Linked DNA regions of Mus musculus. The protein of the gene in region 1 interacts with the protein of each later gene in a biochemical or structural test. Links are inferred from orthologs where the notes say so. Each region holds a gene or a part of one and is shown in the gene's direction. Other genes may lie near its edges. The genes, in order: Map4k1 and Crkl.

Region 1 (3,812 bases):
CTACAAAAGGTGGGCATTTAGGAGACCCAGAAGAGCCTGGTGAGGAGCCAGGCGGGAAGGACAGGACTCTAATGGGAGCACAGAGACACGGGCAGGATATTGTTTTAGTTTTATGGGTGAATGGTTTTACCTGCATGTACACCTGTCTATCACATGCGCACAGTGTTGACAGAGGCCAGAAGAGGGCACTGTATCTGCTGGAGCTGGAGTTAACTGGTTGTTGATTCTCATATGGATGCTGAGAACTGAACCCAAGTCCTCTGCAAGAGCAACAAGTGCTCTTAGCCACTGAGCCAGCTCTCCAGCCCCAGGAAGCTCTTTTTTGCTATTTAAGATTTACATTTTAAATTTTTAGATAATGTCTTCTAACATACAACATTGTTATTAATTATTTGAGAATGTCATACGATATATTTTGATTATATCCTGACCTTCCACTCATCCCAGATTCAGGCCCACCCAGCCTGAGTTTGTACCGTTCAAACTTATGACTGTGGGGCCATCTACTAGAACATGGCTAGCTCTTAAAGAAACTGACTTTTTCTCCCTGGAAGCTGTCAACAAATGTGTGCTGTGTTTATGTTTGTGCACACAAACCCAGGCACTTACAGAGTAGAAAAGAGCATGTAGGTCCCTGGAGCTGCAGTTACAGGCAGTTGTGAGCCTCCAGGCATGGGTGCTGGGAACCAGCAGGTGCTCAGCTCTGGAGAGAGCGTCTTACCGGAGTGACGTTGTTGGCCTAGCCAAACCTGGAGCAGAAGTTGTGGTTACTGTTGGGATTTGGGGATCCAAGAGGGGAAGGGAAAGAATGAACTGAAAAGCAGATACTAGGAGAGTCCGAGTTTAGAGGCCAGCGGTGTCTGAGTAAGATCATCTACAGTTAGGGATCGTGATGGAGCCCTAAGGGAAAATGAAGGTCACCTGCATTCAGATGGTAGAGACTGGCATCAGTTTTTTTTTTTTTTTTGGGGGGGGGGCTGGGTTTCACTGCAGCAGAAAAGGACAGACTCAGGAGATTAGAGATGGAGGTTAAGATTGAGGGGTCAGGGCCGGGTGTGGTGGCGCACACCTTTAATCCCAGCACTTGGGAGGCAGAGGCAGGTGGATTTCTGAGTTCAAGGCCAGCCTGGTCTACAGAGTGAGTTCCAGGACAGCCAGGGCTACACAGAGAAACCCTGTCTCAAAAAAACAAAAAAAAAAAAAAAAAAATTGAGGGGTCAGTATTAAATAATAAGAGTCTTGGAATAGAGGTATGTTCCTTTAATGCCAGCATTCCTGAGGCTGAGGCAAAGGATCATCACTTGTTTGAAGCCAGCCAGAGCTGTATAGCAAGAGCCTTCTCCTCTTCCTCCTTCCCTTCTTCTTCTTCCTCCTCTTTTTTCTTTTCTCTTTTTGGTTTTTCAAGAAAAGGTTTCTCCCTGAAGCCCTGGCTGTCTTGGAACTCTGTAGAGCAGGCTGGCCTCAAACTCACAGAGATCTACCTGCCTCTGCCTCCTGAGTGCTGGGCTTAAAGGCGTGCGCTGCCACCACCACCTGGCTGACAAGAGCCTTCTTAAGCAAACAAAGAGCATAGTGGTCCATACTGCTAACCCCTGCTCTTAGGAGGTAGAGGCAGGAGGATCAGAAATTCAGATTCAACTTTGGTTTCATAGCAAGTTCAAGGGCCAGTGGGATACTTGTGAGCAGGTCTCATAAAACAAGAGACAGTCAGGGGAGAAGACTCAGTGGTTAAGAGCACCAGCTGTTTTGTTCAGAGGACCTATGTTCAGTTCCCAGCACCCACATGGGGGCTCACAGTCTTCTCTAACTCCAGTTCCAGGGGATCCCAACCCTCTTCTGGCCTCTGAGGGCACTGCATGTTCATGGTGTACAGGTTGACATGTAGACAAACACGCATACTGAGAGACACCAGAGCTGATCAGCCCCACTGGATAGAAAAGCATACGTTGAGAATCCAGAGTCAAAAATCAGTGATGGAGATCAGCACTAGGGAGGAAGGGGCAGGGCTTAGAGAGGTGCTGCAGGAAGTAGAGTTGGAGGGCCCTGGACAGAGAACTGCCAGGCATTGGCAAGTTACAGAAGGGGGTGGGGGTGGGGAGGAGGGGTCATGGAGACTGGCTTAAGGGACTGAGCGGGGGGGGGGGTTAGAAACTGGGGGTGTCAGCCTGCAAGGGGAATTGGTATGAAAGGGTGAGTTTGGGGTAGAGGGCCAGTTTTGGACAAAGGTCTGGGAGGTCCATCTCCCATGATGAGAGAGCCCAGCAAACTCCTTGTCTGGCCCACTCAGATCAGAACCTGCTCCTGGGGGCAGAGGAAGGCATTTTCATACTGAACCGGAATGATCAGGAGGCCACGCTGGAAATGGTGAGGGATGGGATCAGTGCTGGGAGTGGGGTGGGGTTGCACAGGGTCAAATGGGGATCACAGGAGTCACCCCATCCTCTACAGATCTTCCCTGGCCGCACAACCTGGCTCTATTGCATCAACAACCTCCTCATGTCTCTCTCAGGTTAGCCTGTGGCTAGGGCAGGGGCAGGGGCTGGGGCCAGGAGTGAAGGGAGGGTGGGTATGTGTGTGTGTGGATGAGCACAAACTGAGCCCTCACCTCCACCGGGCCTGAGGTTCATAGCTCACCACTGGTTGAACTTAAGGCCAGGAGCTTTTCTCTCTGAGCCTTAGTTTTCCTATCTGTAAAATGGAGCTCTGATATCTTCACTCCTTTAAGTTGGTTGTGAGTTAATTTTTTACAATCAATTCATCTTTAAATAACTTTGACATCTCTGGGTGTTGTTGGCACACCCCTTTAATCCCAGAGCAGAAGAGACAGGTACAGGTAGGTGGGTCAGGACTTAGTCTCACTTAAGATAGACTGAAGAAATTACAGGGTTTGCTGTTGTTTGGTAAGTACTAGGGCCCGTGTTTGTGGGGCACATGTGCTACCACTGAGCTGTATCTCCAGAACACCCCAACCCCTATCTTTTTTTTCACCCAAGCCAGGGTTTCTCTGTGTAGCCCTGGCTGTCCTGGAACTCATGTAGACCAGGCTGGCCTCAACCTCACAGAGAACTGCTCATCATCATCTCCCCTCCTTTTTTTTTTTTTTTTGAGACTGTCTATCCCTGGCTAGCCTCAAACTTAGAGTGACTCACTTGCTTCAGCCTCCCAAGTTCTGAGACTATGAGCAGGTGCCACCAATCCTGGCTTAGGTAGGTTTTTCTGTTAAACTTTGAAATATGTGCCAGGTGTAGAGTCAGGAGGATGGGAGTTCAAGACCAGCCTCAGCTCCATGGGGAGTTAGAGGTCAGCCTGGACCTGAGACACAAGCACCAAAAAAATAAACTTCAGGTGCAACCTCATGGGCTGGGTAAACCTCACTCCTGTTGCCGGTGCAGCAGCGTTATGAGGGCAGGCGACCTATTCTGCTCTGTTTTCCTAAGCAGATCACGGTGATGCCTGGACCACACTGGTCCTTTCAAGTCTCAAGACTGGGAACTGTGTGACTGGAAAGTGGGGTTTGCATGTTGGGAAGTTTCAGCGGGCTGGGAGACAAAGAGATGGCAAGGGTCCTCTAACTGCTTGACACTCCCGCTCTCATACACACACTGCAGGGAAGACACCCTACCTGTATTCTCATAGCATCCTGGGCCTGCTTGAAAGGAAAGACGGCAGAACGGGAAGCCCCATTGCTCACATTAGCCCTCACCGGTTACTGGCAAGGTAGGAGCCCCACAGGGCGCCATTGGCTTCCCTGCCCCCAGTGCGCCCGCGCAGCCCCTCACTCCTCTTCCTCCTCCTCCAGAAAGAACATGGTC
Region 2 (4,296 bases), on another chromosome or scaffold:
ACAAAAAGGCACTAGACCTTGACATTTTCCCCTTCGCTTACTTACCACTGGGATGGAATCACCAGTTATTACCCTACAATCTAAGAATTGCTAAACATGGGAAATGTAAACGGCCAGAACAAGACTTTAGTGATAGAGATCTAAGTAGGAGTTCTCCTGTATTCCTCACTTTTGAGATTTCTCCCTCCCCTAACTTCCTCCCCATTTTTGTTGGGTTTCATAGAGCTCAGCTGCCTTGAACTCATGATCCTCCTGCCTCCATCTCCTAGTGATGGGATTATTGGTATGTGTCACCACCACTGGCTTGGGACATGCCTTCCTGTTTATCTAATTTGGGAATGCTATGACCAATAATCCAGCATCTGTTTTTGTGGTGATTTTTCACAATAGTCATTCATTTAACAAATTTCTGATCATTCAAGACTAGATGTGGATTTAAGGCAGGCAAAATATAGGTAAATAAGACAGTATTCTGTGGTATTAAAATTTCATCCTAGCCTGTTGGTGGTCAGAGTTAGTTCCAGGACAGCCAGGGCCACACAGAGAATTCCTATCTTGATAGATAGATAGATAGATAGATAGATAGATAGATAGATAGGCCGGGCAGTGGTGGCGCATGCCTTTAATCCCAGCACTTGGGAGGCAGAGGCAGGCGGATTTCTGAGTTCGAGGCTAGCCTGGTCTACAAAGTGAGTTCCAGGACAGCCAGGACTACACAGAGAAACCCCGTCTCTAAAAAACCAAACAAATAATTAAATAAATAGGTACTAGTCGGGTTGGAGGGAGAAATATGTCAAGGGAGGCAGAGCTGAAACTGAGCAACGTGGAATGGCAGGAAATGAACTGTTGCAGAGCAACAGGCTTCAGGCCAGACACAGGTGTTGCATTTCACTTGTTACACTTTACAGCCGGTAGTGTCCAGTCATCCTCACCAACACACTGTCCTCCTCGTAAAGTATTAGTCAAACTGATCTTCACCATCATTCCACGTGTACCAAGGAGGATCACCTAGGGCAGGCGTTATTTGATAGGTTATTCAGTAACCTATTTGATGGTCACCTCACTCCCTAGGTCATGCCCTTCCTGAGCCACCTGATTTACCAGGGCCTTCTGGCTCGCAATCATCTGACGGCCACGCCTTCTTGGCCGGACACTCAGCAACCACTCTACGCTTTGTTCACAGAAACAGGTTTTCAAAACGCTGTTCCCTCTCGGCTCCAGCTGTTTTCCTGCCAAGCCCGGGAAGCCTGACAGCAGCAGCTTCTCGGCGGCTGCTTTGCGGTCCAGGAAGGGCCTGACCCTCTGCCTCCTCCCGGAACGCGGGAGCCCGCGCGAGTGGCTCACGCTGGGACCCTCGCGAACGCACTCCTGATTGGCAGCGCCCAGTGACGTCAAAGGAAGGGCCTCCGCGGTGGAGGGGGTAGAGCCCAGCTCCGCGCGTGCGCAGATTGAATGCGCTGGACCAAGGGGGAGGTGCCCGGCTGCTTCTCCCGCGTCCGCCATTTTGTTGCTGTGGCTATTGGGAGCGGGCTGGGTAAGACTGCTCGGGAGGCGCGACTCTTGTTGGAGTGCGGTGCTTCGTGTGACCGCGGGGATCGGTGCAGGCTCTTGAGGCTGTGGAGCCGGCGGCGGGTTCCAGGACAGAAGTCACTGGAGCCTCCCCTGTACTCCGGCCAGCTGAGAAGCCCGAGGCGGCCTCCGCTACTGCTCAGCTTCGCCCACCTCGACCCCGGGGCTTTGCCCAGTGTTCCCGGACCGGCTCTCCGTGAGGCGGCCCGGTGCAGGAGGGCGGTGGCGGAGGATGCTGCGGGGCCCGGAGCCTAGAGGAACGTCCTGACCAAGCCCTCTGATTGTTCCTCGAAGTGTTCTGAGAGGCCCTTCCTCGACCCCAAAGCCGACAGCGGGTAAAGGCTTCCCAAGCAAGAGAGCCGCAGACGCCGCCCATCCCCGAGCCCAACACCATGTCCTCCGCCAGGTTTGATTCTTCAGACCGCTCTGCCTGGTACATGGGGCCAGTGACTCGCCAGGAGGCGCAGACTCGTCTCCAAGGCCAGCGCCATGGCATGTTCCTAGTCCGGGACTCATCTACCTGCCCCGGGGACTATGTACTGTCCGTGTCCGAGAACTCGCGTGTCTCGCACTACATCATCAACTCCCTGCCCAACCGCCGCTTTAAGATCGGGGACCAGGAGTTTGACCATTTGCCGGCCTTGTTAGAGTTCTACAAGATCCACTACCTGGACACTACCACCTTAATCGAACCGGCGCCCAGGTACGCGAGCTCCTGCCCTTCTCCGGTTCAGAACTTGACCGGATGCGAAGGGTCGGTCAAAGATTAAATTTTGGGGGTAGGGTAGGGGATAGAACTCCTTTTCCTCATTCTAAATCAGAAGACATTCGGATTATAAGGCCAATATCAGGATCTGGGTCATTGGATGAAAGGATGCATTTTATTTAGACATTTAGCAGTGCTGCTTGCATTGTTTAAATGCACCCCTAACCCCCCACATATATACACAGTTTTGCCACTTTACTTGACTGTAATACTAATGCAGAATGCTTATTAACGACGCTAAAAATATAGACTTCCTTGAGATTCTGAAGATAGCCATGACTCCTCCTTTCTCGAAATTCTTGTACACCATTTAAGGTTTTTGTAACTCCTGCATTTTTCAACTAACTTTAGGTTACAAAGTGGCCTTCGGCCTTTGGAATAATCCTTAAAATGGATCGAAAGTGTAGAAATCTCAGAATCTGATTCTCTAGCACTCATTTTTAAAACTGGGATTACCAAGAGAAGACAGTGGGATTATATTTGAAGAAATTTGTATCCTCACCGTTCCTTCCTCAGGGGTGGGAAGTGTATTTACCTAAATTCTACATTAATTCAATTTTAGTTTTTTTTTTTTTTGTAATTAAGTCTAGTGGTTTAACATATGCTTTAAAGACCCCTAAGTAGAGCTAGCTGAGATAGATACACACCCCTAGTCCCCTAAGGAAAGAGGACCTTGATTCCAAGTCAGACTGAGCTGTAGCAAGACCCTGTCTTAAAGAGAAAGATATTGATCCCCAAGTGTTCTCTTTTTCAAGTAAAATGCATTATTTTATAATTTGCTTTAATTTCCCTAACGAATATCATCAAATGATACAGTGTGAATTGAAAAGGTGTCTAGAGACTTTAAAAGATATTTTCCTGCCCAGTTTATTTCTAAGCTATTTTCTAAAAAAAGAATTAAAGGCTGATTTAGATTTTTCAGGGTGAGGCGACTTCATAAAGGTGAAATTTGCTCTGAACTTTGAAAATGAAAAGATACTATAATTAATTAAGGGCACCTACTTAAATCCAAAGAGTTTCTTCTTTAGGATAGAATAATGAAGGTGGGGTGGTTAACCGTTGCCAGACCGAGTGGATTTTAGGAAGTGTGGAGAAGGCTAAGCCTGATGATGAGTGAGGGGAAGTGTTTGCAGTGAAAGCTGGGTGACCTACCTGCCTTTGGTTCCCACCAGGGGAATGTGAACAGAGAGCCCACCCCCACAGAGTTGTCCTTTAGCCTCCGTGTGCTGAGTGAGTACTCACACACAAAGAATTGTTAAAAATGTAAAACACAGAAAAGTGACTGTAAAAAGTGATGTGTTATCCAGATGAGAATATAAAATTCTGTGAAACACGAAGTTCCTAGTAGATGCTGGCAGGTGCTGTCAACTTGAATCATCTTCAATGTAAGAGCTTGAAGAGACTTAGGATGGATAGTGTTTAGTCGTATATTTAAGTAAACTCACTTCTCGAATTGTGAACATTATGTTATTGACTTCAGGCCTTTATTAAAACATGCAACAATGTGACAGGTGTTGGAGAAAGTTTAAGTTAATTATTAGAGTCACCTCAAAGAGGGAAATATATACTGCAGTGGCTTCCTGCTAGTTACAAGATCTGATTCTACTTCATGTGTCTTCTCAAGTACCAAATGTAATTTTCTGAGTTTTTCATTAGCTCTGCTTGACACACATTCCTATCTTTTCTGTTTTGTTTAATTTCCAGATGAAAGTAATAACCAAATCATAATTATCCCTAACTTGATATCACTGTCCCGTGTACAGCTGCAAATTGTACATTATAAATTTTGGAATAGATGGCAGTGTACCTTGGGGGATATTCTTTAGTATCTCAGCTTAAATATAACAACTACTAATATTCTCTTAATTGATGTTATGCTTTATGATAAAGAAATTGAGGGGAAAACTGAATATCTGTACAAACACATAATTAACAAAATATGGTAGAAACACTCCTGTTGA

The links.
Region 2: the proteins of Map4k1 (region 1) and Crkl form a complex in vitro, tested with the Homo sapiens proteins (2 studies listed by BioGRID). The link is inferred for Mus musculus from reciprocal best matches to the Homo sapiens genes MAP4K1 and CRKL.

The regions. Positions count from the first base shown.
Region 1 is NC_000073.6:28,996,165-28,999,976, forward strand, and holds part of Map4k1 (mitogen-activated protein kinase kinase kinase kinase 1), read left to right. Parts: coding exon 1-9; intron 10-2,287; coding exon 2,288-2,364; intron 2,365-2,448; coding exon 2,449-2,509; intron 2,510-3,608; coding exon 3,609-3,717; intron 3,718-3,799; coding exon 3,800-3,812. UniProt on the Homo sapiens protein: Serine/threonine-protein kinase, which plays a role in the response to environmental stress. Appears to act upstream of the JUN N-terminal pathway.
Region 2 is NC_000082.6:17,450,517-17,454,812, forward strand, and holds the start of Crkl (crk-like protein), read left to right. Parts: upstream 1-1,468; 5' UTR 1,469-1,961; coding exon 1,962-2,272; intron 2,273-4,296. UniProt on the Homo sapiens protein: May mediate the transduction of intracellular signals.